7 linked regions of the Bombyx mori genome follow. The protein of the gene in region 1 purifies or fractionates together with the protein of each later gene. This does not show direct contact. Links are inferred from orthologs where the notes say so. Each region holds a gene or a part of one and is shown in the gene's direction. Other genes may lie near its edges.

Region 1 (4,109 bases):
TTCATTTTAATTTCTATCAAGCAACTAACACAATTGAGATTTTGATTCAAAATATGCTAATGATAGCTTCACATTGAGTTTAATTTTGACAAAATAAGTTATAAAATAAGATAACTAAACCTGAAGATAATTAAATAGACAAACATATCTACAGAAACGACCTTGAAACTAGTGACAGCCCACACAATAGCAAATTGCAAACTTTATTTAGTAAAAAATATATTTATATGACTACTTTTTTTTTCAATTAAAAACTGAATCGTTAGTACTTAAAATCCCAACGTGTTAGCTTCGTAATTACGGTTCAACTGCAATAATTGCAGTATTTCATATATTTATTCAAATGTTTTTTAAAAGCAAATGTCAATTAGTATGCAGCTAAATTGACAAATTTAGACAGCAACATTTTTCGCAACGTAACACAGCTTACATACTACGTAAACACAACGTATATCTACGTACAGTCAGGTTCGCACCATGCTAAAATCGATATATTCAATTCAAAAACACATTTTCGTGCGGCAAAACAAAATCATACCTGCAGGCTTTAATGGAACTATTTCCTGGACTAAATCGCCCCGTTTTAATAGTTCGGTGAATATTACTTCTATTGTAAGCATTAGCGGCGTATAATTGTCTGTTTCGACCTGTAATATAAATGTTAAAATCACGAATTACAAATGTAACCTATGACGCATTACATTTTTCGTTGTACTAAATGAACAAGGGATTTCATGCTCACCTCAAACATCTGCAATATATCAGCAAGATTGTTCGCATGTTTTCTGGAGTTAAGAAACTCATTTGCTTTATTACGAAGCTGTCCCGAAATCATTTTCGAAAAATTTTGTTGCACAGCAGCCATTTTTGTATTGAAAAGGATTGACAAAAAGTGACAACTGATCAGGCGGGCAACCTTAGAAAATATGGTTTCGTTTAGTAATTAGGTAAACGACTAATGAACATGCCTGTGCCTAGGAAACTCTTATTTTATTTTCTAAAAATATATTAATTGAAATCAAAATCAGAATTAATAGCTTTATATTAAAGTAGGTTCACATCAAATCTTTTTAATCGTTTTAACTATATTATCTAAAAAAACAAACCACTAGAGCAACAATGTAAGCTTGCATTAAAATAATCTCTGTGAAAATACACAAATATTATTACGAAATATTAGTTTAAAAACTAACCATAAGACATTTAAATGATATTTTTTGATAGTATTAAAACATTGCTAAATTATTAGTGCTGCTCTTTACCTATGTTTTTTTCATACAGTCCAATTCGTTTATTTTCGTTTAGAAATGAAACCAGATTTTAAGGTTATCTTGCTGTCAAAGTCAAAACTTGTTCAAAACAATCTTTAGAGCATCGGCAGTTGTTTTGGATAATTATTTTTCGGAAATATTTTCAAAATATAGTTATCAATATTAAAAATGGACGGAGATTTATATGACGAATTTGGAAACTACATCGGGCCAGACTTGGAGTCTGATTCTGAAGACGAACAGAGTGTATATGGTCAGGATAATCGTGAAGGTGATGAGGAAGCAATGGAGGAGGACGAGGACGCAGACGCGGAGCCCGAAGTTGCGCCTATGTCCGTCGTTCTTCATGAGGACAAACGGTAAAACTTTTTCATTTAAAACTAACAAATAAAGCGGCCTTACAAGATGTTAACCCACTTTACCGGTACTAGCGACGCACATGCTAGACCATAGAACAAGCACACTCAGACCTCGAATACCTAATATTTTTAACAAAGAAAAAAGTACTGAGAAAAGCTATGCTCTGTTTTGGTATTTGTTAAAATTAGTTATTGATTAATAATAACATTATTAACCATCAAACTTCAGTTACTATCCTCAAGCTGTAGAAGTGTATGGACCCGACGTAGAGACAGTCGTCCAAGAAGAAGATACACAGGCTCTCGACAAACCCCTGGTAGAGCCTGTGAAACACAAGAAGTTCCAGGTTCAAGAACAGCAGCTACCAGAGACCACCTACGACATGGAGTACATGGCTGACATGTTAGATAATACTAACTTAATCAGAAATATTACGTTAATGGGCCACTTGCACAATGGTATGTGATGTGATTTCAATGAAATAAATAAGAGACAAGTCATCCATGAGCTTTTTGTAGAGCTTTTATTTGTTAATAATAAATTAATTTGATTATTATTATTACATTTTCTATAATTACCATTCAACTTATAATGTTGAGTTTCATAAAAACTACTTTATACTATGTACACACAGATAACCGTAAAATCTTTAAAGTGTATTGAATAAAATAAAATGAAACTATTGGAATTATATTATTATTATTATATATAGAGGCCTATTTTCTGCAGTGGACGGCGATAGGCTGAAATGATGATGATGATGATGATGATGATGATTAAATGCAAGAAAACTGAAGAAAAGACTAAGATTTAAGTGATCAATATTAATCTAAAATAGGATTTAGTAACAAAAATAAAAAAATGTGCAGATCAGAAAAAGAAATTTCATATTTCCTATCGAAAATTAGTGAGTGTTATTTGATCTTCTTAAAACTGTTTTATTTCAGGAAAAACATCTTTTGTAGACTGTCTCATGAGACAGACACATCCTGGAACAATTAACAATGAGACAACAATACCTATAAGGTATACAGATACTCTGTTTGTGGAGCAAGAGCGAGGAGTGTCGATAAAGTCCATGCCGGTAACATTGCTATTGAAGGATATAAAGGGAAAGTCACATTTATTGAATATCATGGATACTCCAGGTCACGTGAACTTCAGTGATGAGGTGACTGCTGCTTTGCGGATATCGGATGGTAATTTTTTTACTGAAGAGGAAAGCTTATTTGTGAAATACTTATCAATTCTCAATACTCATAAAAGCAATTTAACCAACAATCAAAGTCATGTGTGTTTCTTTATTTGACATTATAACCATAAGTCGACATCTGAGCATTTTTAATTGTTGAGGTTATTATCAAAAATGTACACGCTTCACAAATGCTGCCTATGAAAATTCATTTTAAAATATTTTTTAAAAAGAGGTTTCAGTATAAACAAATACAGGTTAATTTTGTCTTTTATAGGAGCGGTACTCTTTGTGGACGCTGCTGAAGGTATAATGCTCAACACGGAGCGAATGTTACGTCATGCAGTACAAGAAAGAATTCATTTAACTCTTTGCATCAACAAAATAGACAGGCTAATGCTTGAGCTAAAATTACCTCCTGCAGATGCCTATTATAAGCTCAGGCATATTATTGATGAGCTGAATTCTATGCTGGAGACCAATCAACCTCAGGATAATCCTGATGAGCCTCCAATTGTATTTTCACCACTTCTGGGTAAGTTATTAGTATCTCCTATAGCCAGGTTTGTCACCAACCATACCTGGAGTATAAGTAACAACAATTGTACTGTACTAAGTTTCATGTCAATTGGAATGGATCAATTTCAAATAAACATTGTGTCTTAGATAAGGTACAGAACATTGCCAAAAGTTGTTTTTTTTTTTCATTTTTATTTTTTTTATTTTTTTATTGCCTTTGTAGGCAGACGAGCATACGGCCCACCTGATGGTAAGTGGTCACCGTCGCTCATGGACGTCAGCTTAGCCAGGGGCAGAGCCAAGCCGCTGCCTACCATAAAGTACTCTTTGGACCAAATGTGAATTCAAATGGTAATTATGTAGCCATCTACACAAATAAGAGAAATGAATACTTTAATCCATTTTTAAGGCGATTGCTAAGTTGAATGAGTATACTGTTGTCCAGGTAATGTCTGCTTCGCGTCAACATTGTACGACGTGTGTTTCTCTCTGGAATCGTTTGCGGCGATGTACGCTGCCTCGTACCCTGCGTGCGGACTGCGGGCATCCGACATGGCGGGCTGGCTGTGGGGCGATGTCTACTTCAACGCGAAGACTAGACGCTTCACGAAGAAACAACCTCATGCCTCTGCTCAGAGAAGCTTCGTGGAGTTCATATTGGAGCCGCTGTACAAGATTTTTGCTCAAGTAATTGATTGTAAATAATAATTAATTAGAAAATATCAACAATCCATGGATTGACCCTGCAGATACCGGACCCGTTATGG
Region 2 (4,436 bases), on another chromosome or scaffold:
GGAGGAAGCGCAAACGGGTTCGCAAATTGAGTATGCGAACCCATTTGCACAGCTGCTAAGTTTACGAATGAATGTTTGACGGCCCTTCACATGCGCGCAAACATTCGTACAATGTACGAATATTTGCCCGCATGTGAGTGGCCGGCATTACTATCATTCTCAAAGATGGGTTAATACCACTGAAGTAGGAAACCTATATAGGTCTATGGTTAATACCGATATTTGTCAATATTAGCTAATACTAATATATTCATTATGTAATATTATAATACCTTAACTAATACGTGAATATCCTGATATCTTAATATACTTCGATAAAACGGGTAAACGAGTTAAACCTAATACGGTATTCGTGAAATAAGTTAATAATCATAGATAATACACATAAATTAGTTATTAATAATATAAATAGTATATTGTATCTAGGAATTTGACTTCATACTAAATATTTTACAAATAATATTATATACATTAAAATGAATATTATTATTAAATCAGAATTTGGTCAACATTGTATATTAATATAAACAACAAGTTAGTAATATTATTTATTTCTTATTGGTGCATAAAAACATCAGCTTTTTTACTTTTTCTACCGAAAGACTGGTACGTCGGTCAGTAATGAGTTCACCAGATTTTGAAAAAATCCTCTTACACGGTACTGAGGTGGCTAGTGGGTACCTACACAACAGTTATAATATTATAATCCACGAACCGTTTGTTTAGAAAGTCATTTCGATTCAAAAATCAAACTTTTATTTATATTTTGAGAATTTCTTAGAAGATAATTAAATACCACCGCAAAAATATATTTTCATCATAATTTATTACGTAAAACACTTAATTTAGTTCTGGCCGTATTACGTTTTGTGTAAAAATAATTTAATTTATGAAATTGGTAAACAATATCAACTACCTACTTCCGTTTTCCAAATCATCGTTTTAAAACCAACTAATTCGAAGGGAACAGAAAATAAAATTAAAATAATGAAAATAAAGCTCCCCGATTTTATTCTAATAAATGTAAAAATGCACTATTTTGCCTTGAGTAGAATCTTTAGTTGAATCAAGAAATGAAGGATCAAACATTAAAACGTAATGTATTTAAAAATTCCCACTAGCATCGTACGGCGTATGCCAGTATATTTTCGAGTGATAGATACAACCCGACCGATGTGAGTTAGCTAAGTGTTATGAATAAAGTGAATACGGAATATTAGCAGATCAGAATGCGACGGATTACCGACACACGAATACAAGCTGTATTAAGAATATCTTAATGAATACTAATATATCGGTCTCACCCTTAATCATTCTATTTCACCATTCAAACCAGAACGCTGGACTGCTTCGCGGCCAAAATAGGCAGCGTTGTGGCACCTATTCTTGTATACTTATAACATGAATCCCACAACCATAAATACCTTGTATATAAATATTTCTCGACGAAATTTACTCAATTTCTCTGTGTTCGAATATTTTAAGTCGAGTTCATGAACAATTACAAGGACTCTAGTCTACCTGATTCGACACTTCAGAATATCATATGTAACATCACTATTATTGTTATAATCTATGTTTCTCTCGTTGCGGCACAATTTTTGTCTTCCCGTTTGAAACTATAATTTTTCAATCTTTTATGTTAGTTGTTACGTCTACAATAAAATAAGAGTTAAAACATTAAAATTTTGAAGGTAAACTTTCAAATTAACAATTATTAAAGATTATATTTCCAAAAATTTTAGGTTAAGTAACATTTTGTGAAATTAGGTAATAATTAAATTTTTTACTTTTTAATGTTTGTTTTGTCCATAATCATGCATTCTGTGCTAAGCGACTTATTAAAAAAAACGATCACTTATTTCTAATCAAGTAACCTAGTGACTTTCATGGTTCAGATTTTAAAAAATTAAAATGGAAAAATTATTCATTTCAGATATGGCTGCACAGCTTTTCAATCGCATTGGGCAAGTCGGTCTAGGCGTGGCATTGGTTGGAGGTGTTGTCAATTCTGCATTGTATAATGGTAAATAATTTTACTTAAACTATATCAGTTATAACCTTGCATAAGCTTGCTAGCTGTATTGTATGCTAAACATAAAAGTTGCATTTGCTTGGATCCCCAAAATAGCTCTTGTGTATCTTTGATAGAAACTTTGATATTATATTTTTTTTGTCATTGCTTAGATGGGTGGACGAGCTCACAGCCCACCTGGTGTTAAGTGGTTACTGAAGCCCATAGACATCTACAACGTAAATGCGCCACCAACCTTGAGATATGCGTTCTAAGGTCTCAGTATAGTTACAACGGCTGCCCTGCCCTTCAAACCGAAACGCATTACTGCTTCACGACAGAAATAGTCATGGCGGTGGTACCTACCCGCGCGGACTCACCTACCACCAGTAAAATTAATTAAATCCTTAATTGATGATAACAAAATCTATATAAAAAAATACACTTATCTTTAAGAAATTTCTTCAAAACAGAGGATTATGTAATATAAATAAATAATACATTATTTGTCATTGTGATAAACCACTGAAAATGCGACATGTAAAAATGCTGATCCTTATAAATATATGATAATTGTTTCCAGTCGACGGTGGTCACAGAGCTGTTATCTTCGATCGATTTGCTGGTGTTAAGCAGCTAGTTGTTGGTGAAGGCACACATTTCTTCATTCCTTGGGTCCAGAGGCCAATTATATTTGACATCAGGTCTCGACCCAGAAATGTTCCTACTATTACTGGAAGTAAAGGTAAGATAATGCTTAAAATGCAAAAATTTTATAATCTGTATTCACTTTAGCATAATGCATCATATTGGCTTTAATACTTCTGTTCTAGGGTTTCAAAGCTATGTTATTTTTATTAGTATTAAGTGGTAGAGCTCATAACCTAGCAAGTATGCCTCCATTCACTTTCAGAGATAAGGTTAAAGTCCCATTTATAGTGTGAAAAAAGCTATATAATTCTTCAAATTAGATTGCAAGACTTCTTTGCACCAAAAACAAGTAGAACAACAGTACCAATGCAAGTGAAATGAGTAGTTGTATGTGTAACATGTACTTATGAATGATTGATGGCTTTCTTTGATTATGGAAGTGTTTGCATACTTACTTTCATGAAATGGCAAAGCAAAGGCAAGTGAATTGATACATCAGCCAAAAAATATATACTTCTGTGATGTTTAATGATAGAACATCAGAATGTCAACATTTGTAAGAATAATAAAGCAACAATATGGATGATGTGACTATACTCTTGTATTGTAAAAAATTAAACATGAATTGAGATTAAAGATGAAAAATCCATTTATATTACAAATACACTCATTAGAATTTAAATGCCCTGGTGTTAGGCAGATTGTATTGTACTTTAATGCATGCTAAAACATTGTGCAGCACAATAATTCACAAGATATTATCATTGGTAACTAATTTAGGAAGCAAAAATGAGTAATAAACTCAACATAAATTACAAACTATTTTAAATACTTTTAGATAAAAATAACCTTCTTATTTTAGCAAATAAAAATATTCTATTCAATAAAACTTCAATTAATAAATCCACTTCCATTTGTTTTTTTGAGTTTACATTGTATAATGAAAATACCAGTAGTTAATTTAATAAAACATTTATTTTATTTCAGATCTTCAAAATGTTAACATCACACTTCGTATCCTCTTCAGACCAGTTCCTGATCAATTACCAAGAATTTACACTATTCTTGGTATTGATTATGATGAAAGAGTACTTCCATCTATTACCTCAGAAGTTCTGAAAGCAGTTGTTGCTCAGTTCGATGCTGGAGAACTTATTACACAAAGAGAGGTGAAAGTCTTGCTATTTTTAAACAAACATACTCCACTTCTTATTATGCTATATGAGGAATCATCTGTAGGATTACCAATTTTCAATTGAAGGAACCTGTTTTAATGCAGTTTGTAAACATTCATACTTTCATTTTAATATGTGATTGTTCTGAACTTAAACTCAGTGTTACAATAAAACTTGTATTAAGTTTATATGAATATCTGATTTTTCAGCAAAATATTTAAATGGTAATTTAATTTGCCTAGTGCACCTATAATGGCTATGAAATTTGACATTGAACTTGATAACTTGATAACTTGACAGCTTTGAACTTATTGTGCTAAGTAGTGATATAGACTAGAACTAACTCCATACTTCATCTTATTAATATTATACCTCATGAGGGAGACTACTCACCATCAGATGGGCCGCATGCTCCTCTTAGAAAGGCAATAACAAAATTTAGCACCTACCCATATTTAACCATATTATGAGTCAGGCCATGTTACCAAGTGTCTAATGCAACAGTCACTGATCTTACAGAGCATTAAGCACATAGGTTGGCATAGTTCAGCATACCAATCAAAACACCATTTCCTTTGACTTTAAACTGTCCCAAA
Region 3 (4,384 bases), on another chromosome or scaffold:
ATAAACGATTTTGTAAATTTAAAATACCACAAATTGATAAAATTTAATCAATTTGTCTAAAACAAATAAAGACTTGTATAGTTTATAATTTTTTGTCTTTAGTTATAAAATAATTAAATGCCTTAACTTTAACAACATATTATAAGCATAAGAGCATCCGCTACAAGATGTCGATAGTTTCCATACAAAAAAAATATTTGTTTTAAAGTATCGCCCTGATTTCGGCTCAATGAATTTGGCTCCCCTTTTTTGATTTTCGGATTTTTTTTATTTTTAATTATTTGTTTGTCGTTTGTTCGTTAATGCTCGAATGTAAAAATTTGTTGTTCGTCTTTTATTTATTTATAGTTAATTAAACAAATGATCACCATTAAGTGAACCCCCTTTTACTAGATATCTTTATTTTTATCGCTCAGATTAGTTAATAAATTGGAAATATAATTGTTTTTATGGTCGAATAATCACCAATAGTCGTCGAACAAACTATAATTAATCCAAATTAGCTAATTCGAACATTAACGAACAAACGACGAATAAATCCACGATCCAGAGATTTTTTTTACCACGTACCATCCGGCTATGGAATGAGCTCCCCTCCACGGTGTTTCCCGAGCGTTATGACATGTCCTTCTTCAAACGAGGCTTGTGGAGAGTATTAAGCGGTAGGCAGCAGCTTGGCTCTGCCCCTGGCATTGCTGTCGTCCATGAGCGACGGTAATCACTCACCATCAGGTGGGCCGTATGCTCGTCTGCCTATACGGCAATAAAAAAAAAAAGATAAAAGTTAAAAATAAAAAAAAAACCGAAAATCAAAAAAGGGGTCCAAATTCAGTGAGCCTCTGATTTCTACGTCACACTCTCCAAGGTCACATTGTGTGATTTGCTTGCTGTCACTGCCATCTGTTGGCAAACAATATTGAAAACACAATGACGGCAAAATGCTATTAATATGTTTTAGTGTGATCACTAGATGGCGTATCCACGAGTTTTTTTGCTTACAAAATTTAACAAATTACCTATTTACCAAATATAATGTAAATAACAAAATATTCTCTTACAATATGTAAATTTATTTCAAATGTTTCTGTTGTTTTTTATCATAAATATTACAATTTCGTTTGCCTAAGTACTCAACATTACGTCACGTTTGTGACGTCAAGGACAAGTGTTTTTCCTTTTATTCGTTGATTTTACATTTTGCTGCGTAACAAATTATGGCAAATAGTGGATATTTTGACGAAAATAGTGATGTTTCTGCTATACTATTCGATTTAGATAACACTTTAATACAAACAAGAAAAGGAGATACTAAAGCTTGTAATAAGGTGTGTATATTTTGATATTTTAGTATTCTTTCACTTTGACATTGCCACGGTCATGGAAGCATGGGTATAGGTGATTGACAAAATGAATACTGTCAGTCTCATTTTTCGCGCTAAGTAATATTTTACGATTTTGATTCATTTAATATACCAAAGGCTTACCTTTAGAGCTCACTTCAGAACCACTGCTGCATGCACAGCATGTAGATATTAATGTAGATCATTTACGTTCCAGTGAGCTATAATTAGAATAACATAGTAAGAGAACGTGAGCTCGACGTCCAGATTTAGCTATTTTGGAAGAGAACACACTCTAATTATAAACGTGATGTGGATCGAGTCGCTGTTTGAACGATCCGACTGCGATTCCGCGCACTCAGTGGAGCCCTATTGCGTTTTGTGAGCGTGTCGTGTGTTAGTGACAATGGGTGATGTATCAGAACCAATCAAGAAATGCATACTCATCTTAAAAAATGCAAGAAGCGACACCGAAAAATTTGCTGCCCTGTTTATGGTGACGAAACTGGTAAAAAGCAAGGACTGCAATTCTACAGCGAAGAAAGCACTTTTTGAAGCCATCGGATTTCAATTCCTCAAGAAGTTGTTGACAAGCAACAGTGTAGAAGATGATTGCCCTCCGTCTGTATATAAATCGGTGGCATTATCTGTACTCACCAACTTCTGTAATGAACCTGAACTTGCAACCCATCCAGAAATGCTGGCAAACATACCAGTATTCCTTGATATAGTACAAACATCAGATAATGATGACTACGATGATAACCTTATCATTATTAGTGAAGCATACACCTGCCTACAATGCATAGCTGAACATGAAGCTGGCCAAAGAGCTCTTATTGATGTTGGTGCTATAAAGAAAATGTCTGAAATCTACTCTCACCAAAGTTTCCAGACAGATGAAGCACTAAATATCCTTGTGAAATTGGTTAGTCGCTATGGCCCTGCTGCGTGGGGAAGCGATCCTAAACCATTCCATGCATTGGTAAACAAAATTGCTTTAGATTTTGCAACAGATCAGTCAGAGAGGAAATTTGAATTAGCCACAGTACTTAGTGCACTCTTGTACAGTTGCAACAAATCTACCGTTTTGCCTGGATCATCAGATGAAACATGGCCTCAAAGTATCTACAAAGCTCTTCATGATATTCTCACAAGTAAAATAGGTAAAAATCAGAGAGATCCTGCTTTGAAGTTAGCTGCCAACATTGTTGATCTGCTTGGTATAGAATGGACTTTTAATGATGAAGAAAATCCTAAGAAATTCTTCCTACTTCTTTTACAACTTTGTGCCATTGAAGTAAGAATGCAATTGGAAGATAGAAGCTTCAAGCAAGCATTTGCTAATGGAGAGTTAGTAACTGCCTGTTTCATTGTCCTGGAATTGTCTATCAACTACATGGCTACTGATCAATTGGACTTGGAGCAAAAAGAAAAACAATCTGTTTACACTAGCTTAAAAGGAGCATTCAATGCTGTAGTTTCATTACTGACAAAAGTGTCGAATGATAAAAACAAGGATAAACTTCCAGAAGCTGAAAAAATATTTGTTGGAGCAATGGTTAGAGTGCTGTTTGCCTGGATAGCTCAAGAGACAACAGCGATGAGAGAACAAATCTACGCTTTACTGCCTTTTATGTTTTCCCTTGCCAATGATTCGTTTCATGCATACAGATCGAGAAAACTCGCTGAGAAAAATAAATCTGAAGGTGAACCATTAGATGATAACTCCGGACTCATGGGCCAAATAGATTTACTTCGTCTGATGTTACCAGCACTTTGTCACTTAGCTGTTGAAGATAAAGCCCGAGATATCATGTTTAACCTAAAACAGGAAGACATCTTATATGAAGCTATGAATTTCCACTGGTCTATTGTGCATTATAAGAAACCTCCTATTCCTAAGTCAGAAAGAGGCAAAGCTAGGACTCAACCAGAGCCAGAACTGGATCCCAAGTTATTGGAAGATATGAAGGATTCAAGAGCTGCCATGGTTAGCCTGTGCAACATTTTCATGAACCTGACAGTGTTGGCACCTAAAATTGTTGACAATAGCATGCTGTTTAACACTCTACTCAAATTCATTTTCAACAATTTACCAGAATTGAAGGACATCCCTGAAAATCTTGTCTTACATGGACACTTGGCAGTACTGGGATTACTTTTGTTCAAACAACAAGCAAACAAAGTGAAAAAGAATGATTTTTCAATTTGTAGATATATTCAATCAACTATCAGGTTTCTTTGGGATGCATACAATGTAGATGAATCAAATGATCCGACTGCTTTAGTTGTGTCCATGAGCTATAAGGAACACTGGAATGAAATTGCAGATTTATGGTTCCTAGGAATGCAGACAATGAGTGGAGTATTAACTATAGTTCCTTGGATATCAGAATTTGCTATTGAAAGTGGTTGGGCCGGTGGAATAATTGAAATGCTTGTGAAAGTTAAGATTGGTACACTGGCTCCAAACGTTAAGTCAGCCTTTGAAGATTTTCTTTGTAGATTAGTTGACTCAAACGAAAGTGTTATACCTGTCCTCAAAAAAGCAGGTGCCCTAAAAATGTGTCGGAATCATCGACTAATGGATCTTGGCAAGAAATTATTTGGTGACTAGGCAATTTATTTAATAAAATTTTACTTTTCGTAGAAAGGTAACAATGTTGTATTCAGTATTTACTTCTAAACAGTTCATTTTCAATAAGTCAACATGATCCAGTTTTGATTCACTTGTCAATATGCATTATGTCTGAAACATATTACAACATTTAATAACTAACTGAAAATATTGTTTTGTATTTTTGAAATAAAAACTTCAAACGCAATTCCAAGCTTGTTTTCATTGCATTCATGAAGTTCGCGACTTAAAATACATATAAAAAATATATACAGATATACAATGACTGTAAACACTAGAGTATCAGTTTTCAACTGCGAACCTTTGCCAACCAAACTTCAGGTGACTGAACACCCAGACAACGGTCGTTAACCCCATGCTATTTCAGGATTACAGACACTTCTGTGTAAGCTAACACACTACA
Region 4 (2,784 bases), on another chromosome or scaffold:
TTAATTAAAGTTTCTGATTTAGAAACATTTTGCAGTGGTATGGGGTGGGGTTAATTTTCAAATAACAAAAGATTTTAACCAATATCTATTCAAATCAATATCAAATCAATTCAAAAGATTTCAAATAATAAAATAAAAAACAATTTAATGTTTCATAACATTATTGCTATTAATGTAATATGATTTATAGATATGCGAGAGAGATGGCCAGTTGTTGCATACACATAATATGCACACACATCTGTATATCCATTGGAAAATAGTGATCTCTACTCTCTTGTTTTACAACGAATTACGATGTTGTTTCTACAAAAAAGTTGCTTCCTAATGAGTTATTTTATTTTTATTTATACTTATTGTACACAAAAAGAAAATACAATAAAAACAGATTTAAAGAATTCTAAATACTATGTACAAAGGCGAGCTTAACTCATTCATGAGTTTTCTTCCAGCAAACCATTATCAGAGAGAAATACGATGTATAAGAGGGGAATAGTGTACAATATAAGAGCTATTAAAGCATGATTTTTAACTAAGCATTAAAAAAATAATCTAATATTAAATGAAAAATACATATAAATAAAAATACATAAAACAATAACTTAAATACGATTAAAGTGACAGGAAATGTTTCTTCATTTGACTCTTAAAAACTTCTAGAGAGGAACTAGCACGAATAGGTTGAGGGAGAGAATTCCATAATCGCACTGCTTGTATTGTGAAAGAGCCACTATAGCGACTAGAGCTGTGTATGGGAGTTTTTAAAAGAAGAGAAGTGGCTTGTCGACTAACTTTGCCGTCAGGAATCAGATATTCAAAGCGTTCACGGAGATAGATAGGGGCATCAGGATTGTGAAGAATAGAATAGAGAAAAGAGAGAATGTTATCATTAGTTATCATTAGGAAGCAACTTTGTTGCTGTTGCGGATAAAATAATAAAGTCAAATGTCTAACATGAAACATGCCTATTAGCTTAGACTGTAAGTCTTAGATAATGCATCAGTCATATACTAATTATCTCACCAAAACCAATAATCACTGTAATGTAATTTAATACACATTGTACTTAATATTTTAGGTAGTAAAACAATGTTGCGGTACCGACGGTGTTGAGCCTCAATACATAATGGATGAAATATTGCCTCATTTCTTTAAACACTTCTGGAACCATCGTATGGCCCTCGACAGACGAAACTATCGCCAGCTTGTCGACACCACAGTGGAAATTGCAAACAAGGTACTAACTATTTCGACCAGAATCATTGTATTTCCATTAATTCACTCAAAAGTAATCATTTTCCCAATCAGGCATTGCTTACATTGTGAAACTATTGATCGCAGGTCGGTGCATCAGAAATTATCAACAGAATTGTTGATGATCTAAAAGACGACAATGAGCAGTATAGAAAAATGGTGATGGAGTCCATTGAAAAGATTCTCGCTAATTTAGGAGCAGCAGACATTGATTCTAAGCTCGAAGAAGCTCTTATCGATGGAATATTGTATGCATTCCAAGAACAGACAACTGAGGTAAAACATTAAAAAAAGTTTAAATGTCTGATTTTTAAACACTTAAGTCGTGACACAAATCTTTTGTAAGTAATCTCTAACTTTATATGATTCAAATTGTGATTTTTCGATAGGATGTTGTGATGCTGAACGGTTTTGGAACAATCGTGAATCAATTGGGAAAACGCGTAAAGCCCTATTTACCACAGATATGTGGTATTATTCTTTGGCGTATGAACAACAAGTCTGCTAAAGTTCGGCAACAAGCTGCCGATCTCATTTCTCGGATCGCTGTCGTGATGAAAACTTGTCAGGAGGTAATCACATTTTCTTTGCCATATCCTCTTGTACGCTATGCTTCCTTACTAAATTAGTATGTAGTATAATTTTTTCGTAATATATTTTACAAAATGGGCAAACAAGCTCAACTGTCGCAAAGTTAACGGGGGTCCATACACCGAATTTAATTTGTCTTGAAGTATATTTGGATACATTAGGAAATGTATCCAAATATACTTAATTTATAACATCATTACCAATTGATTTTGAAAATTTTAATTGCTTGCTATTTCATAGGAAAAGTTAATGGGGCATCTTGGTGTTGTACTGTATGAGTACTTGGGAGAGGAATATCCTGAAGTGCTAGGCTCTATACTTGGTGCATTAAAAGCAATTGTCAATGTTATTGGAATGACAAAGATGACCCCACCAATAAAGGATCTCCTGCCTAGGCTTACACCCATTTTGAAAAACAGGTAACCTTGTTCTATAAATAGTGACTTGATAACTTCATAGAATCTTTAAATTAAATCTTTAATATGTTTTTTTTTAATTCCAGGCATGAAAAAGTACAAGAGAATTGTATTGATTTAGTGGGTCGTATTGCAGACAGAGGACCGGAATTTGTGTCGGCCAGAGAATGGATGAGAATATGTTTTGAATTGCTTGAACTATTAAAGGCTCATAAGAAGGCAATTAGACGAGCGACTGTAAATACCTTTGGTTATATTGCTAAAGCCATCGGTCCTCATGACGTACTCGCAACCTTACTTAACAATCTGAAAGTGCAAGAGAGACAGAACAGGTCATTATTTAATTAATAATTATTAGTAGATTAGTTAGCTTATTAAAATGAGTAGGATACGTTAGATCCTGCATGTTTGTTATTATTATTATCATTTACATAGGGTAATCAAAATAAAAGAACCCGTTTTACCAAAATATCCAAAATAAATTCTTAATAATAATATGGTCACAGGAAGTTGATATAATTTT
Region 5 (4,249 bases), about 13 Mb from region 1:
TACCGGAGCCCATAGACAACAACAACGTAAAAGCCGCCATCCACTTTGAGACATAAGTTCTAGGTCTAAATTTTTACAGTACAACGGCTGTTCCTTAAAACCAACACATTACTGCTTCACGGCAGTAAAAATCAGAGTGTTGCTACCTACTCTTGTGGGCGTATAAGTCACCCTACCATTAGTAATTACGCATTATATAATTTTCGCAGGTTTGATTTTTATTATAGGCTCTTACAGTTTTACTGGCTTGGACGCAGCGCTCGATCCGAATGCACCGGGCGTCATAATCCGCAGGCCACCACCCCTTCAATAGCTGGTCGTTCTTGATGGACATTCTGGATTATTATTAGTCTGGACTGGATGCGATAGGCAAGAGACCTAGAATAATGGAGTGTATTTGAAGAGACCTATACTCAGCATTAGGTGGATAAGGTTTGAAGAAGAGATGAAAATTCTAGAGGCATTTAAGAATTCGTCCATTACCTTCGTAGATTGTTTTCATAAGAAGTGTAATACTTATTAACTGTAGATTATTTTGAGTACCTTAAAGGACTAGACTATATCTGTCAAAACCGTCAGATTTGACAGTTTTTTGAAAAACTTTGCGGTCCATCTTATCGTTTCATTACATATATTTCGTTCAATTTCATTCACATGTATTACTAATACAAAATACATTTTTTTCATTACACTCCGGTGTTTGGTTCCTTTGTTATCCAACACAGTATTTAAAAAAGAAACGAGCTGCCGAAGAGATATTTAATTTTGAGTTTGAGTAGGTCAGAATCGCATAGTATAACTCTTTCCTAATGATAACCTTAACGGTTTCCACTGCTTTTCCTTTTGCTATAAAATATTACAGGGCTTTTGGTAAGGTAATGTAATGATTATTTAGTTGTAATTATACTGTATACCTAGTTGAAATTATATTAACCAGTAAGTATACCAGCCCCCTTCAGCTCCCTTCCATTTTACTTTTTTATTATTCATCCGTCTTTAAGAACGGATTTCGTTTCTACCTCACGTTTAATTTCTTATCTGCTTTTGTTTGGTATATACTGGTGGCAGATACAAAGATTGCAAGACGGCGCCAATGGCGAACTCTTCTATCTATTTTTGCTATAGAGCAATCTTAAATTCCTGTTTAAAAAGGAGAAATGCCGATATTCCCAATAAATTAATTCGTGACTAGTTAGATTAAATCAAAAAACAACTAGAAAACTATTTTGTTACATATCTCACTATCGAATAGGAAAATATTTTATCATACTTGAAACTGAGAATGAGATATTTATCGTTTGTGTAATTTGCTACTCTGAGCTTACCTTAAATTACGTAAAAATCAACTGTTTATTTGAAAATCATTGAATCCAAAGATATTAAGTGATTACTTATGTTGTTTATTTTAATTCCTTCAATGAAGTAGGAAACCTATAGGTCTATGAATTCCTTTGACAAAATGACATTTGACTTTTTGAATTGTCATTCTCTTTGAGGTTATGTTTGATATAAACAAACCGCTATCGGCGCTATCACACAAATAGTTAGCTATGTACCTAAATTTCATTTAAATTTCGAATAATTTAATATAAACACACGTGAAAATGTCGAGTAAGCCTAATTCTAAGCGGACAATATACGTTGGAGGGCTAGCTGAGGAGGTCGACGAGAAAGTTTTAAACGCTGCTTTCATCCCTTTCGGGGATTTGGTTGATGTTCAAATACCTTTGGATTATGAGACTGAGAAGCATCGGGGCTTCGCTTTCATAGAGTTCGAAAACGCTGAGGATGCTGCCGCAGCGATTGATAACATGGTCAGTACTTTTACAGTGAAATACATGGCAGATGCTGGACATGGATTCTTTCAGTTCTAGTCCATAGGTATGATACAAAATACTCATTTTGGTACAAACGAAGGGTACACATCTTTGTTTATCGTTAAAGAATGTGAAATTACATTCAGGAATTATTTTTGGACAAATAAGATATATAAGTCTATATTTATTACTTATACAATAATATCTGACATTTTAAATTCTTACATTTTTTCGGTCTTAAATGTCCATTGTGAATATAGTAAGAGGTGAAGAAGTGTTATTATTGTTGTTATAACTCGGAAGTCCCCGAGTTTTTATTACAGATGGTAGGGTATATTGTAAGCCCAAGGGGTAGGTGCCACCAACATGTTTATTTATGATTTCTGATTGGCACAGTAGCCATCACCAGTGGAATAACCACAATTGAAACTACAACCTTATGTCTCAAGGTGGGTGGCAGCATTCACATTCTGATGGCTGTTGTCTTGTAATTACATAAACCTGGTGACATGAGTTTGTACATACTTATCACAAGCAAAACCTACCATAGCTAAAGGAATCTATATTGAAGAGTGAAATGCTATTTGGTATAAGCAACATTTTCCTTAATACACAACTTCATCTTCATAATTAAAGGTGTGTTTTATTTGGTATTAGCAAGAACAGTTTGATGGTTTTAATTGCTCTTTAATTGAGTTTATTCCATTAAAAAAGCTAAAGAAGTTTATTTGTTATGGTATTTTTTCCAAATTTTAAACTTTAAATGGCCTTTAAGTTCCAAAAATGTCAATATGTCCGAATGTTTGTAGGCAGCGGCTTGGCTCTTCCCCTGGCATTGCTGACGTCCATGAGCGACGGTAACCACTCACCATCAAGTGGGCTGTATGCTTGTCTGCCTATACGGCAATAAAAAAATATGTCACTTAAAACAAATAGCCTTTCACCCCTCAATATAAGGTATTGAAGGGAGAATTAAAATTATTTGTGTGTAATTTAAACCTCATCATTGGAAAATACTTTTTACTGATATTATAATTATATTTGTAATACATATTATTACAGTAAATAAAATATTGTTTCACATATATTTATACACGTCATGTTTCAAAGGTTTTTTTTTTTAAATTCCGGATTAAAGGAGATTTTGATTATTTTAATAATTTATTTAATTGACTAACACTAAAATGTTTAATATAATATTAGCTTAATACATTATCAAACTGCCATTCATAACTAAAGTGTAGGATATTGTAATAGAAAAAAGTTATATACACAGTAAATAAGCTTTTATAAAATAGGTTTGAAATTATTAATCTACTAGAAAATGACATCCATAGAGACATAGATGACCCTAGAAATATAGACATATTGTGGAATGCATAATTAAAAAAATTTAAACATGCTTAGTAATATTTTCTCATTTTAACTTGTAATCTAACTATTTATTTCTAGAATGATTCAGAACTATTTGGTAGAACAATACGAGTGAACATAGCAGCTCCGCAACGCATTAAAGAAGGCTCCACACGACCTGTCTGGTCGGATGACTCATGGCTGCAGAAACATGCTGGGGAAACTCTTCAACTGAACAAAGATGGTGAAGAAACTGAAACGAAAGACAAAACCGAAACTACTAGTGTAAGTAATCTAAAGTACATCAAATTAAGAAATAAGATGGTTATGATTCGGACATAACATGTGAAAGGATAATAAATATTATCCAAAACATTGATAAAGATGATTGATTTTAAGGATGCATAATATAAGGACTAAAGCGTTTAAAGTAAATGTATAAAGACTCTGGGTAAGGGGTTTGATAACTTTGTCACTAGCATTAGTCATATTCTTGAGATAACATAAACTCTGTCAAACGTTTGGCTTGTAATTTGGTATTATGTCAGTTACAGAGCGAATGCTACCTTCAGACGTTAATTACAAGTCTGAATTTTATTTAAATATCGACTTTTCTAACTTCACCTCAAAGGAAGTGAAATTATGATGGTAATTTTTTGTTCTATGATACTCTCCATGTCTTCGTATTGTGTCCAGTTTTCCAGTCAAGAGTTTATTGAGTTAGCACATACATTAAATTGTTTTCAAGTGATGTTATGAATATACTAAAACAAAGTGTGTAAATTTACATTGAAATTCTTCTCTTCTTCATCTTTTTCTCCACCTTATCCCACTACACACTTTACCCAGGTGGGCTTGAGCTCGTCCACATATCTAAGAAATAAAAAAAAAACTAGGTGGGGTCGGCACAGCTAATTTTTCTCTTCCATTCTCTTCTATTAGCCATCATCTCAACACTCACTCGTCTCTCTCATATCATATCGTCGTTCACACATTCCAACCATGTCTTCTTCGGTCGACCTCTTCCTCCTCTACCTTTTTCATACTATTTCCATAGATCTCCTAGTCACATGCCTCAA
Region 6 (4,281 bases), about 2.6 Mb from region 1:
GAGTGCGAAAATACAGCAAAAAGTTTTTTGGCTATTACAGAATGACAAAAATATCATTCGATAATTTACTACAACTACTTTACTACATCTTTTCAATAGCGAGGTTGTAGGACTATGAGCGAAATGCGCGAATTTTATTCCACAGTGCGAACATAGCCATACTTACTCTACACGATACAAAATATTCGCGCGGAAATAAATCGCACCGCTTCGCGTTCAATTTGCATCAAGTCACAGATTTTTTTCCCGCGCGATTTCGTTCCCGCCAGTGCGGATACTTCTATAATATTAAATGTGTTACAGAATTACGAGAAAAAAATCGCGCGGTGAAATATCGCTGTGCGGACAAGGCCTAAATATTACCAAAAATTGCCAAGTTACTCTATAATTACAATATTGGCAAAATAATAACTTTTTGGCGGAAATTCGAGGAGCGAAGCTTTCAAATATTAATCTATGAGCGTAGCAGTGTCAATTGTTTTATTTAATTTATGTAGTGTCTTTTCAGATTAAAATGCGTAATAATGGTGGTTAATTGACTGTATAATACCTTTGAAAGTGCACAAATGTATGAATATGCAACAAAGCCGTTAAATGTAGCTTCTCGGGATCTTTTTAAAAGTCCATTGAAAAAGTCTCAGAAAATAATTCCCATTTTACTGAGACTATATTTCATCTCATCTCATTACGTTTCATTTCATGCCAATTGATTATTGTTCCAAATTAATCAACTTCATTTCATTTCATATAATCATTTATCATAAGCAAAAAAATATGAAAGATTAGGCTGTATGGTATCATACTTTTGCCTTTCCAGTTCGAAAATAGAACACATACTCCTACTAAAATATTTTTTAATGGATTTTATGACACGGTAACTAAGATCTTTAGGTCAACTCTTAATAAAATTTATATTCTTATTTTTATGAAAAATGATAATATGAAGTGAAATGAGATGAGATGATATGGTATAAAATATAATCTCACTATGATAGTGGTCATTTACTGATACTTTTTAGTGAACTTTTTGGAGGATGGATAAGGTCTCAAGTATAGTTACAATGGCTGTCCCACCCTTCAAACCGAAACGCATTACTGCTTCACGGCACAAATAGGCAGGGTGGTGGTACCTACCCACGCGGATTCACAAGAGGTCCTTCCACCAGTAATTACGCAAATTATAATTTTGCGGGTTTGATTTTTATTACACGATGTTATGCCTTCACCGTGGAAGTCAATCGTTAACATTTGTTATGTATTTCAATAGAAAAATTGGTACCCACCTGAGATTCGAACATCGGTGCATTGCTCAACACGAATGCACCGGACGTCTTATCCTTTAGGCCACGACGACTTCATATTTCATACTATATTATCTCATTTCATTTCATACCACTTCGTATTACCATTTTTCATAAAAATAAGAATATAAATTTAATTAAGACCTGACCTAAAGGTCTTAGTTACCGTATCATAAAATCCCATAAAAAGTTCATTTAACGATTAATATTTACATTTTACATTTAGATTTCAGATTCTTCATTTAACTACATTGTCTAAAGTCTATGATAGTAATAAAATGACTGAAGAACAATCTAGAAAACGCAAAATAACTGATGAAAATGGGACTGACAAACAAGGTACTTGATAATGCAATTCTAACCTTCTATGATTCTGCACTCTACTGCTATTTGTAATCAAAGTATTATTATATTTTCAGGACGATATTCGAAAACTCAACAAATTCAATGTCCTTACCTGGATACTATCAATCGGCATGTTTTAGATTTTGACTTTGAGAAATTGTGCTCGGTTTCATTGACTAGAATCAATGTTTACGCTTGCTTAGTGTGCGGTAAATATTTTCAGGTAACAAAATATTTATGCAATTGTCATGGCTTTGGTGATTAGAGGCTTGAACTTTTTTTTACAGGCAAGTTACTTGTTTTCATGATGACGATTTTTATGAGCGCCAGTGTTGTTCCTGGCATTTCATTCCAGTTCTTTGCTGTAGTGATATGTAAGATAGGTTATTTATGTTGACTTAGGCATAAATTTGAATTAATCACTTGCGAAAAAATCATTAAAATCTATCTACTTTCCAGGGAAGAGGCACCAACACTCATGCCTACACACATTCAGTGGCTGATGGACACCATGTATTTTTGAATCTTAACACATTAAAGTTCTATTGTCTTCCTGACAATTATGAAGTTATTGGTAAATTACATATTTTTAACTTGGTTAGCTAAAATAGCTTTTATGTTAGATATAAATTAATTATAAATAAAATAATAATAAGATATAAATGAATTCGGTCAATTGATGATTTTGTGCATTGAAAATATTTATAAAATATTATGATTAAGAATTGGTGCATTTTACAGTTGTTAACACATGCGATAACTTAAAATAAATTGTTAGACTTTATTTTTGTAAGTAAATTAATAATAAGGAAAATTTGACTGATTTTTAAAATTTTATACACCAAAATGGAATCAAGTAAAATACTTTTAAGCTTAAATTTAGGTATCAATGACTAGAAGTACAGTAAAGCTTTAAAACTTGTAATAGTCTAATGGACAAGACACCCAGTGCATTTGTATTGGGCAGTGCAACTGTGGTGGTGTTTGAATTCTGTTGGCAGGTACCAATTTTTTTAATATGTATTTAACACTTCGTTGGTGAAGGAATGTATCAAATCCATCTTGTGATTATAATAAACTTGCATAAATTATAATTTGTTCTAAGGGTGACTTAAGAGCTTGCATTTGTAAGTACCACCACTCTGCCTATTTCTGCCGTGAAGCAATAATGTGCATTGGTGAAGGGGACAGCTACTGTTGTACTGTAAAACTGAGACTTAGAACTCCTGTTATAGGGATGCGGGTAATCACATAGCATCAGATGAGCCGGGAGCTAATCTACCTATCACAGTCATAAAAAAAGACAATTTCACATTTTAGACTCTTCATTGAATGACATCAAATATGTTTTGAACCCAACATTCACACCTGAACAGATCAAGCTTATAGATACTAACACAAAGATGTCACGAGCCATTGATGGCACAATGTATATGCCTGGCATTGTAGGCCTTAATAATATCAAGGCCAATGATTACTGTAATGTAATTTTGCAGGTCAGTATATGTTTTTATTAAATACATTTTATGATATGTACTGTTTTTATTGTATGATAAATGCGACTTATATTTTTGTTGCCGGCGATCTGTGAAAGTAGATGCGTTACAGTCAAACTGATTCTGTTTTAACCATTATGTATATTTGTAGTGAATAATTACACAGTGCTACAAAGTCTTAATATTGTCACAGTTTTATACTAAATTCATTTTATGATTTTAGTGTTTGTCACAAGTACGTCCCCTACGTAACTACTTTTTGAGAGAAGAGAACTATGCTAGTGTAAAAAGACCACCAGGGGACTCGTCTTTTTTACTTGTACAAAGATTTGGTGAATTATTACGCAAACTATGGAACCCCCGTGCTTTTAAAGCACATGTATCTCCTCACGAGATGTTGCAGGCTGTTGTGCTGTGGTCTAAGAAGCGATATCAGTTTATTAAGCAGAGTAAGATTTTAGTAGTTTTTTGGATATACGAACATGCTTTCTTAGTGTAATTTCTGTATATTATGCTAAAAAGTATGAATATTGATTGATCAGTTTTATATTTTAATTATATATTGTTTTATAATAATAATAAAAATTTATAAATAAATAAATTTTTGCTCAGGTGATCCAATAGACTTTCTGTCTTGGTTTCTAAATTCATTACACATGGCACTGAATGGTACAAAGAAGCCAAATAGCTCCATAATTTATAAGTCATTTCTGGGTCACATGAGGATCTATACAAGGTAAGATTTAAGCATCTGATTTTTTAAAGTTCAAAATAATTAACATTTAATCTATCATTATATGCAGTCAAAAATTTCTGAACAGACTGAAATTTTCAGAAAGTTGCCACCGCCGGATGCTGATGATGCAGCTAAAGTCGATCTTAGCAGTGAAGAGTACAATGAAATGATCACTGAGTCTCCATTTTTGTACCTCACATGTGATTTGCCTCCAACGCCATTGTTCACTGATGAGTTCCGCGAAAATATTATTCCACAGGTGAAAATACCTAGTATTGTTGCAATTTAAAAATTGTATTCACTAACTTTTTTATTTTTTTATTAAGACTGGTTTTTTTATATCAATTCACATCCACTTAAATAGGATTTAAAACAAAAAACTTAACATAAAAACTATTTGAAA
Region 7 (4,266 bases), on another chromosome or scaffold:
AATCGTTGATATACGACAGACAAGACATGAGTTTAATTGACAAACAGCCGTGAAGATCAAATAGTATTTAAGCACAAGCGACGAAAGACGACAGAAATCATAATCCTAAATATCAAGTGTAATAAACTAGGGACAAAACTAAAAGTATGCAATAAAAACATGGAAGTGACACTCAATGTATAATCTATGCATGGATTTTATGACCTGGTAAGTAAGACTTTTAGGTCATGTCATGTTTGATTTATATTCTTATTTTTATGAAAAACTAGCGACCTGCCCTCGCTTCGCTTCGGAAACTGTAATTTATTATTGTTTTCTCCACTATTTAATGGATGTTATTATACATATAAACCTTCTTCTTCAATCACTCTATTAATTAAAAAAACCGCATCAAAATCCGTTACAAATAAATAGTTTTAAAGATTTAAGCATACATGGGGATATAGGGATAAAGAAAGCGACTTTGTTATAAACTATGTAGTGATGATAATATGGAGTGAAATGAAATGAATGAATTTACTGGTGGTAGGACGTCTTGGGAGTCCGCGCGGGTAGGTACCACCGCCTTACATATTTCTGCCGTGAAGCAGTAATGCGTTTCGGTCTGAAGGGTAGGGCAGCCGTTGTAACTGTAGTGAGATATTAGAACTTATATCTCGAGGTGGGTGGCGCATTTACGTTGTAGATATCTATGGGCTCCAAAAACCACTTAACACCAGGTGGGCTGTGAGCTCGTCCACCCATCTAAGCAATAAAAAAAAAGAAGATTAATTTGAGACATTAATCAACTGGGATGAAATAAAATGAGATGAGATGATATGGGATGAACTATAATCTCAGTAAAATGGTGGTCATTTACAGAGTTTTTTTTAGTATGCTAGTGGACTTTTTGGCTGGAACGCGAGGAGTGAAGTTGTATGATTTGTTTTATTTTGTCTATTTAGTGTTTCTTCGGGTTTAAATGTGTAATAATGGTGATTTATTAACTGTTTAGTATCTGTGAAAGTGCACAAATGTGGGAAAATGACATAAAGCCGCTGAACGTAACTTCTCGGGATCCTCCAAAAAGTTCCATCACTGAAAAAGCCTTAGTAAATGACCACCATTTTACTGAGATTATTTTTCATACCATATCACCTCATCTCATTTCATTTAATTTCACTCCATATTATCATTTTTTCATAAAATAAGAATATAAGCGGTAGGCAGCGGCTTGGCTCTGCCCCTGGCATTACTGAAGTCCATGGGCGACGGTAACCACTCACCATCAGGTGGGCCGTATGCTCGCTGCCTACAAGGGCAATAAAAAAATTATAATATATATATATATAAATTAAAATTAGACATGACCTAAAGATTATAGTTACCAGGTCATAAAATCCCTAAAAAAAATAGCATGCTAGGCCGAATAACCATAGACCTTTAAAAGTTTCATATTCAGTGTAATTAACATTGAAATTTATATTTGATTGAAGAAATGTCTTTCAATAAAAATGCAGTTTTTTCTGAACCATTACACGAAGATACCGTATATTGCACGTTTTATTCTTTATCATTGCTTGAAAGATCACAATGGGTGTCATTGTGTGACCAAATCAATGAAACAATCTTAACTTTGTCAAAAGATTACATCTGGCATAGAGATGTTTTCAAAGTCTTTCTACCAGTTTATGAGAATAAAAATCTACACAGTGAGTACAAGTAGTAGTACATACAAAATATCAGAAGAAAATTTTATACACCATTTTAAAAATAAGTTAATCCTATCCTGTTTGTAGAGAATAAAAAAACAAAACCTATAAACCATTATTTTTGCAGAGAGCGACTGAAAAAATAAAATATTATATTAATTGAGAAATTTCCTATAAGCCAAAGAAACAAAGAGACAAACAAACTGATCATAATTGATTAGACACTTGTTTTATACACATTAACTTGAAAAAGCCTTTGTTGAAATTTAAGACGTTTTTTATAATTTTAGAAATGTTATTAATCAATTAAATGTTATTTTATTTTATCTTTTTTTTTCAGACTATCCTATGCATTTAATTAATGTAACATGTTTTGGTGACAATATTGAAGATGAATGGTTCATAGTTTACCTTGTAAAAAATATAACAAAGCTATACACTAACATAGTTGTACAAATTAAAGACAGTGATGGTGAATTTTTATTAATAGAAGCTGCAAATTATTTGCCTTCATGGGCAAATTCAAATACTACAGAAAATAGAGTAAGTGTTGTGTGATATGAGGGTAGGACAGCTATTATACAATAAGAGATTTTTGGCAGTCTCAAGGCATTAGCTATCACTTAGAATTCTTTCTGATCTCCATTCCAATTTATACCAGTGTATCCAGTTTATACATAATAGATTGAGTTTTGCCTGTTTAGAGTAATCTACATTAATTGACATTCATGAACTTATGGAATAGATATGAAATCATTAGCTTTAATTTAAAATATAAATAATATAAAAATACATTTGTCAAAATGATTTTCATACTGAATTTTAATTCAATTTCAGATAAAGTAAGTTTTTAAATCATACAACATACATTCATAAAATCACTAATGCTTGAAAATAAAATATTTGTACTTAATATACACATCATTTTTCCAGGTGTTCATTTACAACAACAATTTACATATAATACCTCCACATGTGGCAAGTATAGATGAGAAGTTAGAAATATCAGAAGCATTAAAATACTTGGAAATCAATAAAGACACTAAGTCAACACATGAAATTGAAAATGCTATATCGTTAAGAATTGAGAAGTTTTCTAAACATTTAAGTGATTATTTCCATACATCAGTTGTTAGACTTCCAATAGAGGTAGCTACTTTAGTGAAACTTGAACCTCAATACATTGCTAACTTTATTAATGCCTATTGTAATCATGAAGAATCTAAGTCCTGTCCTGTGATTAATTATGAACATTTAGTGGATGTTCCAGTGAAGTTTACTAAATTCTTGTATGCAATATTGATGCAGTCAAAACCTATTAAACATTTTAGTAAAAGAAAATCCACAAATGATAAGAGCACTTTACTTGGTTTGAAAATTTCCTATGGTTATCAAATTATAACCAACTCATCAAATGAGGTTTTTTTAACCAATGCATATAATAAATTTATTGCTACTTTAAGGAACAATGGTTATTTTAAAGGTAATTTAGAGGGTTCTAGGGATTATCAACAGCTTTTAGAAAAAGCTAAGGATTATTTCTTAAATACTGAATGCTCAGTAAGTTCTAATGCATCTTACAATATTGCAAAAACACTAAGTTCAGAAAATTTCACTCAAGAAATGGAAAATATAAAAAATAATAGTACAAATTTGGATTTCTCAGATGATAACGATGACTGGATGACCATTCATCCTGATGAGTTAAATAATACATTAAATTCACGCTATGGCCAAAAATCTAAATTTACAGTAAAAAGTGAAATTACTCCAGAGTCGATAACAAAGGACCTTAATAATTTTCTAAATAATACTTCAAACTTTGAGGGGATTGAATCAGAATATACTGATAATAATACTATTGAATTTGAGGCAGATGAATTTCAATCTTGCATTGAGAAGTTTTTGGGATTATTGACTATGAATCAAAATGATGTGCAAGAAGAGTCAGATTTATTAGATGATGAAGATTGTATTTCCGAAAATGGAGATATTACGGAAGAATTAGAAGAAGAAATGAAATCTAAACTGGGAAATGATGATATAGACTCATTACACAATCAGAAAAATATTTTACAAAATTTCTTGCAAAGTATTAAAGAAGAAAAAGCTGCATCTGGTCCTTCCAGTAATCTACTACAGTCAATAGGCCTTAGAAAAACAGAATTATTAGACTCAGATGATGATGATGATAATAAAACATAATAACTTAGTGATTTGTTTTATTGGCCTTCATGGGTTGAATAATTCAAGGCTTGTCAGTGTTTAGTGGATATTGGAGTCTATAGACAACCATGTTGTCTTAATGCATTAGCACCCAGCTGGGGCGAGTCTTCAAAGGTGATGGTCGATTTATGAGAGTTCAACAGAAGGCCGCACGACAGGGAGCTTTAGCATGTCATGTCCGGAACGAAAAATGAAAGATAGTCAAATAAGTGGGTCCTTAAACACTACCTTCTATCTGCAGCGACTGTCGCGTTGACTGGGAAATAATTTGCGTGCCTCCTCAGCACGAGGAGGCTATCAAGTAGGAAATTCGACCTCGGCCCAAAAAAAGAGAATGTTAAATTTTAAA

Evidence for each region.
Region 2: the proteins of 116 kDa U5 small nuclear ribonucleoprotein component (region 1) and prohibitin protein WPH purify together in Homo sapiens (affinity purification with mass spectrometry; 3 studies listed by BioGRID, with this or other methods). This does not show direct contact. The link is inferred for Bombyx mori from reciprocal best matches to the Homo sapiens genes EFTUD2 and PHB1.
Region 3: the proteins of 116 kDa U5 small nuclear ribonucleoprotein component (region 1) and neurochondrin homolog purify together in Homo sapiens (affinity purification with mass spectrometry; 4 studies listed by BioGRID and IntAct, with this or other methods). This does not show direct contact. The link is inferred for Bombyx mori from reciprocal best matches to the Homo sapiens genes EFTUD2 and NCDN.
Region 4: the proteins of 116 kDa U5 small nuclear ribonucleoprotein component (region 1) and splicing factor 3B subunit 1 purify together in Homo sapiens (affinity purification with mass spectrometry; 4 studies listed by BioGRID and IntAct, with this or other methods). This does not show direct contact. The link is inferred for Bombyx mori from reciprocal best matches to the Homo sapiens genes EFTUD2 and SF3B1.
Region 5: the proteins of 116 kDa U5 small nuclear ribonucleoprotein component (region 1) and peptidyl-prolyl cis-trans isomerase purify together in Homo sapiens (affinity purification with mass spectrometry; 3 studies listed by BioGRID and IntAct, with this or other methods). This does not show direct contact. The link is inferred for Bombyx mori from reciprocal best matches to the Homo sapiens genes EFTUD2 and PPIE.
Region 6: the proteins of 116 kDa U5 small nuclear ribonucleoprotein component (region 1) and ubiquitin carboxyl-terminal hydrolase 39 purify together in Homo sapiens (affinity purification with mass spectrometry; 4 studies listed by BioGRID and IntAct, with this or other methods). This does not show direct contact. The link is inferred for Bombyx mori from reciprocal best matches to the Homo sapiens genes EFTUD2 and USP39.
Region 7: the proteins of 116 kDa U5 small nuclear ribonucleoprotein component (region 1) and protein ecdysoneless purify together in Homo sapiens (affinity purification with mass spectrometry; 5 studies listed by BioGRID and IntAct, with this or other methods). This does not show direct contact. The link is inferred for Bombyx mori from reciprocal best matches to the Homo sapiens genes EFTUD2 and ECD.

What each region holds. Positions count from the first base shown.
Region 1 is NC_085121.1:1,483,800-1,487,908, reverse strand, and holds the start of 116 kDa U5 small nuclear ribonucleoprotein component, read left to right. Parts: upstream 1-1,306; 5' UTR 1,307-1,439; coding exon 1,440-1,630; intron 1,631-1,859; coding exon 1,860-2,089; intron 2,090-2,578; coding exon 2,579-2,830; intron 2,831-3,100; coding exon 3,101-3,358; intron 3,359-3,787; coding exon 3,788-4,029; intron 4,030-4,109. Other genes in the region: nucleolar complex protein 4 homolog B, read right to left, coding at 539-647, 743-865. UniProt on the Homo sapiens protein: Required for pre-mRNA splicing as component of the spliceosome, including pre-catalytic, catalytic and post-catalytic spliceosomal complexes. Component of the U5 snRNP and the U4/U6-U5 tri-snRNP complex, a building block of the spliceosome.
Region 2 is NC_085110.1:5,298,482-5,302,917, forward strand, and holds the start of prohibitin protein WPH, read left to right. Parts: upstream 1-1,583; 5' UTR 1,584-1,694; intron 1,695-1,936; 5' UTR 1,937-1,938; coding exon 1,939-2,026; intron 2,027-2,597; coding exon 2,598-2,759; intron 2,760-3,652; coding exon 3,653-3,834; intron 3,835-4,436.
Region 3 is NC_085131.1:8,296,737-8,301,120, forward strand, and holds neurochondrin homolog, read left to right. Parts: upstream 1-1,557; 5' UTR 1,558-1,746; coding exon 1,747-3,960; 3' UTR 3,961-4,168; downstream 4,169-4,384. Other genes in the region: N-acylneuraminate-9-phosphatase, read left to right, coding at 1,215-1,325. UniProt on the Homo sapiens protein: Probably involved in signal transduction in the nervous system, via increasing cell surface localization of GRM5/mGluR5 and positively regulating its signaling. Required for the spatial learning process.
Region 4 is NC_085116.1:8,410,600-8,413,383, forward strand, and holds part of splicing factor 3B subunit 1, read left to right. Parts: intron 1-1,078; coding exon 1,079-1,237; intron 1,238-1,341; coding exon 1,342-1,530; intron 1,531-1,643; coding exon 1,644-1,826; intron 1,827-2,085; coding exon 2,086-2,264; intron 2,265-2,347; coding exon 2,348-2,593; intron 2,594-2,784. UniProt on the Homo sapiens protein: Component of the 17S U2 SnRNP complex of the spliceosome, a large ribonucleoprotein complex that removes introns from transcribed pre-mRNAs.
Region 5 is NC_085121.1:14,019,449-14,023,697, forward strand, and holds the start of peptidyl-prolyl cis-trans isomerase, read left to right. Parts: upstream 1-1,449; 5' UTR 1,450-1,604; coding exon 1,605-1,814; intron 1,815-3,269; coding exon 3,270-3,455; intron 3,456-4,249. UniProt on the Homo sapiens protein: Involved in pre-mRNA splicing as component of the spliceosome. Combines RNA-binding and PPIase activities.
Region 6 is NC_085121.1:4,081,029-4,085,309, forward strand, and holds the start of ubiquitin carboxyl-terminal hydrolase 39, read left to right. Parts: upstream 1-1,457; 5' UTR 1,458-1,579; coding exon 1,580-1,640; intron 1,641-1,720; coding exon 1,721-1,869; intron 1,870-2,105; coding exon 2,106-2,220; intron 2,221-2,966; coding exon 2,967-3,142; intron 3,143-3,365; coding exon 3,366-3,591; intron 3,592-3,754; coding exon 3,755-3,878; intron 3,879-3,977; coding exon 3,978-4,137; intron 4,138-4,281.
Region 7 is NC_085117.1:12,228,072-12,232,337, forward strand, and holds protein ecdysoneless, read left to right. Parts: upstream 1-1,378; 5' UTR 1,379-1,477; coding exon 1,478-1,691; intron 1,692-2,031; coding exon 2,032-2,234; intron 2,235-2,624; coding exon 2,625-3,896; 3' UTR 3,897-3,903; downstream 3,904-4,266. Other genes in the region: U6 snRNA phosphodiesterase 1, read right to left, coding at 1-28. UniProt on the Homo sapiens protein: Regulator of p53/TP53 stability and function. Inhibits MDM2-mediated degradation of p53/TP53 possibly by cooperating in part with TXNIP. May be involved transcriptional regulation. In vitro has intrinsic transactivation activity enhanced by EP300.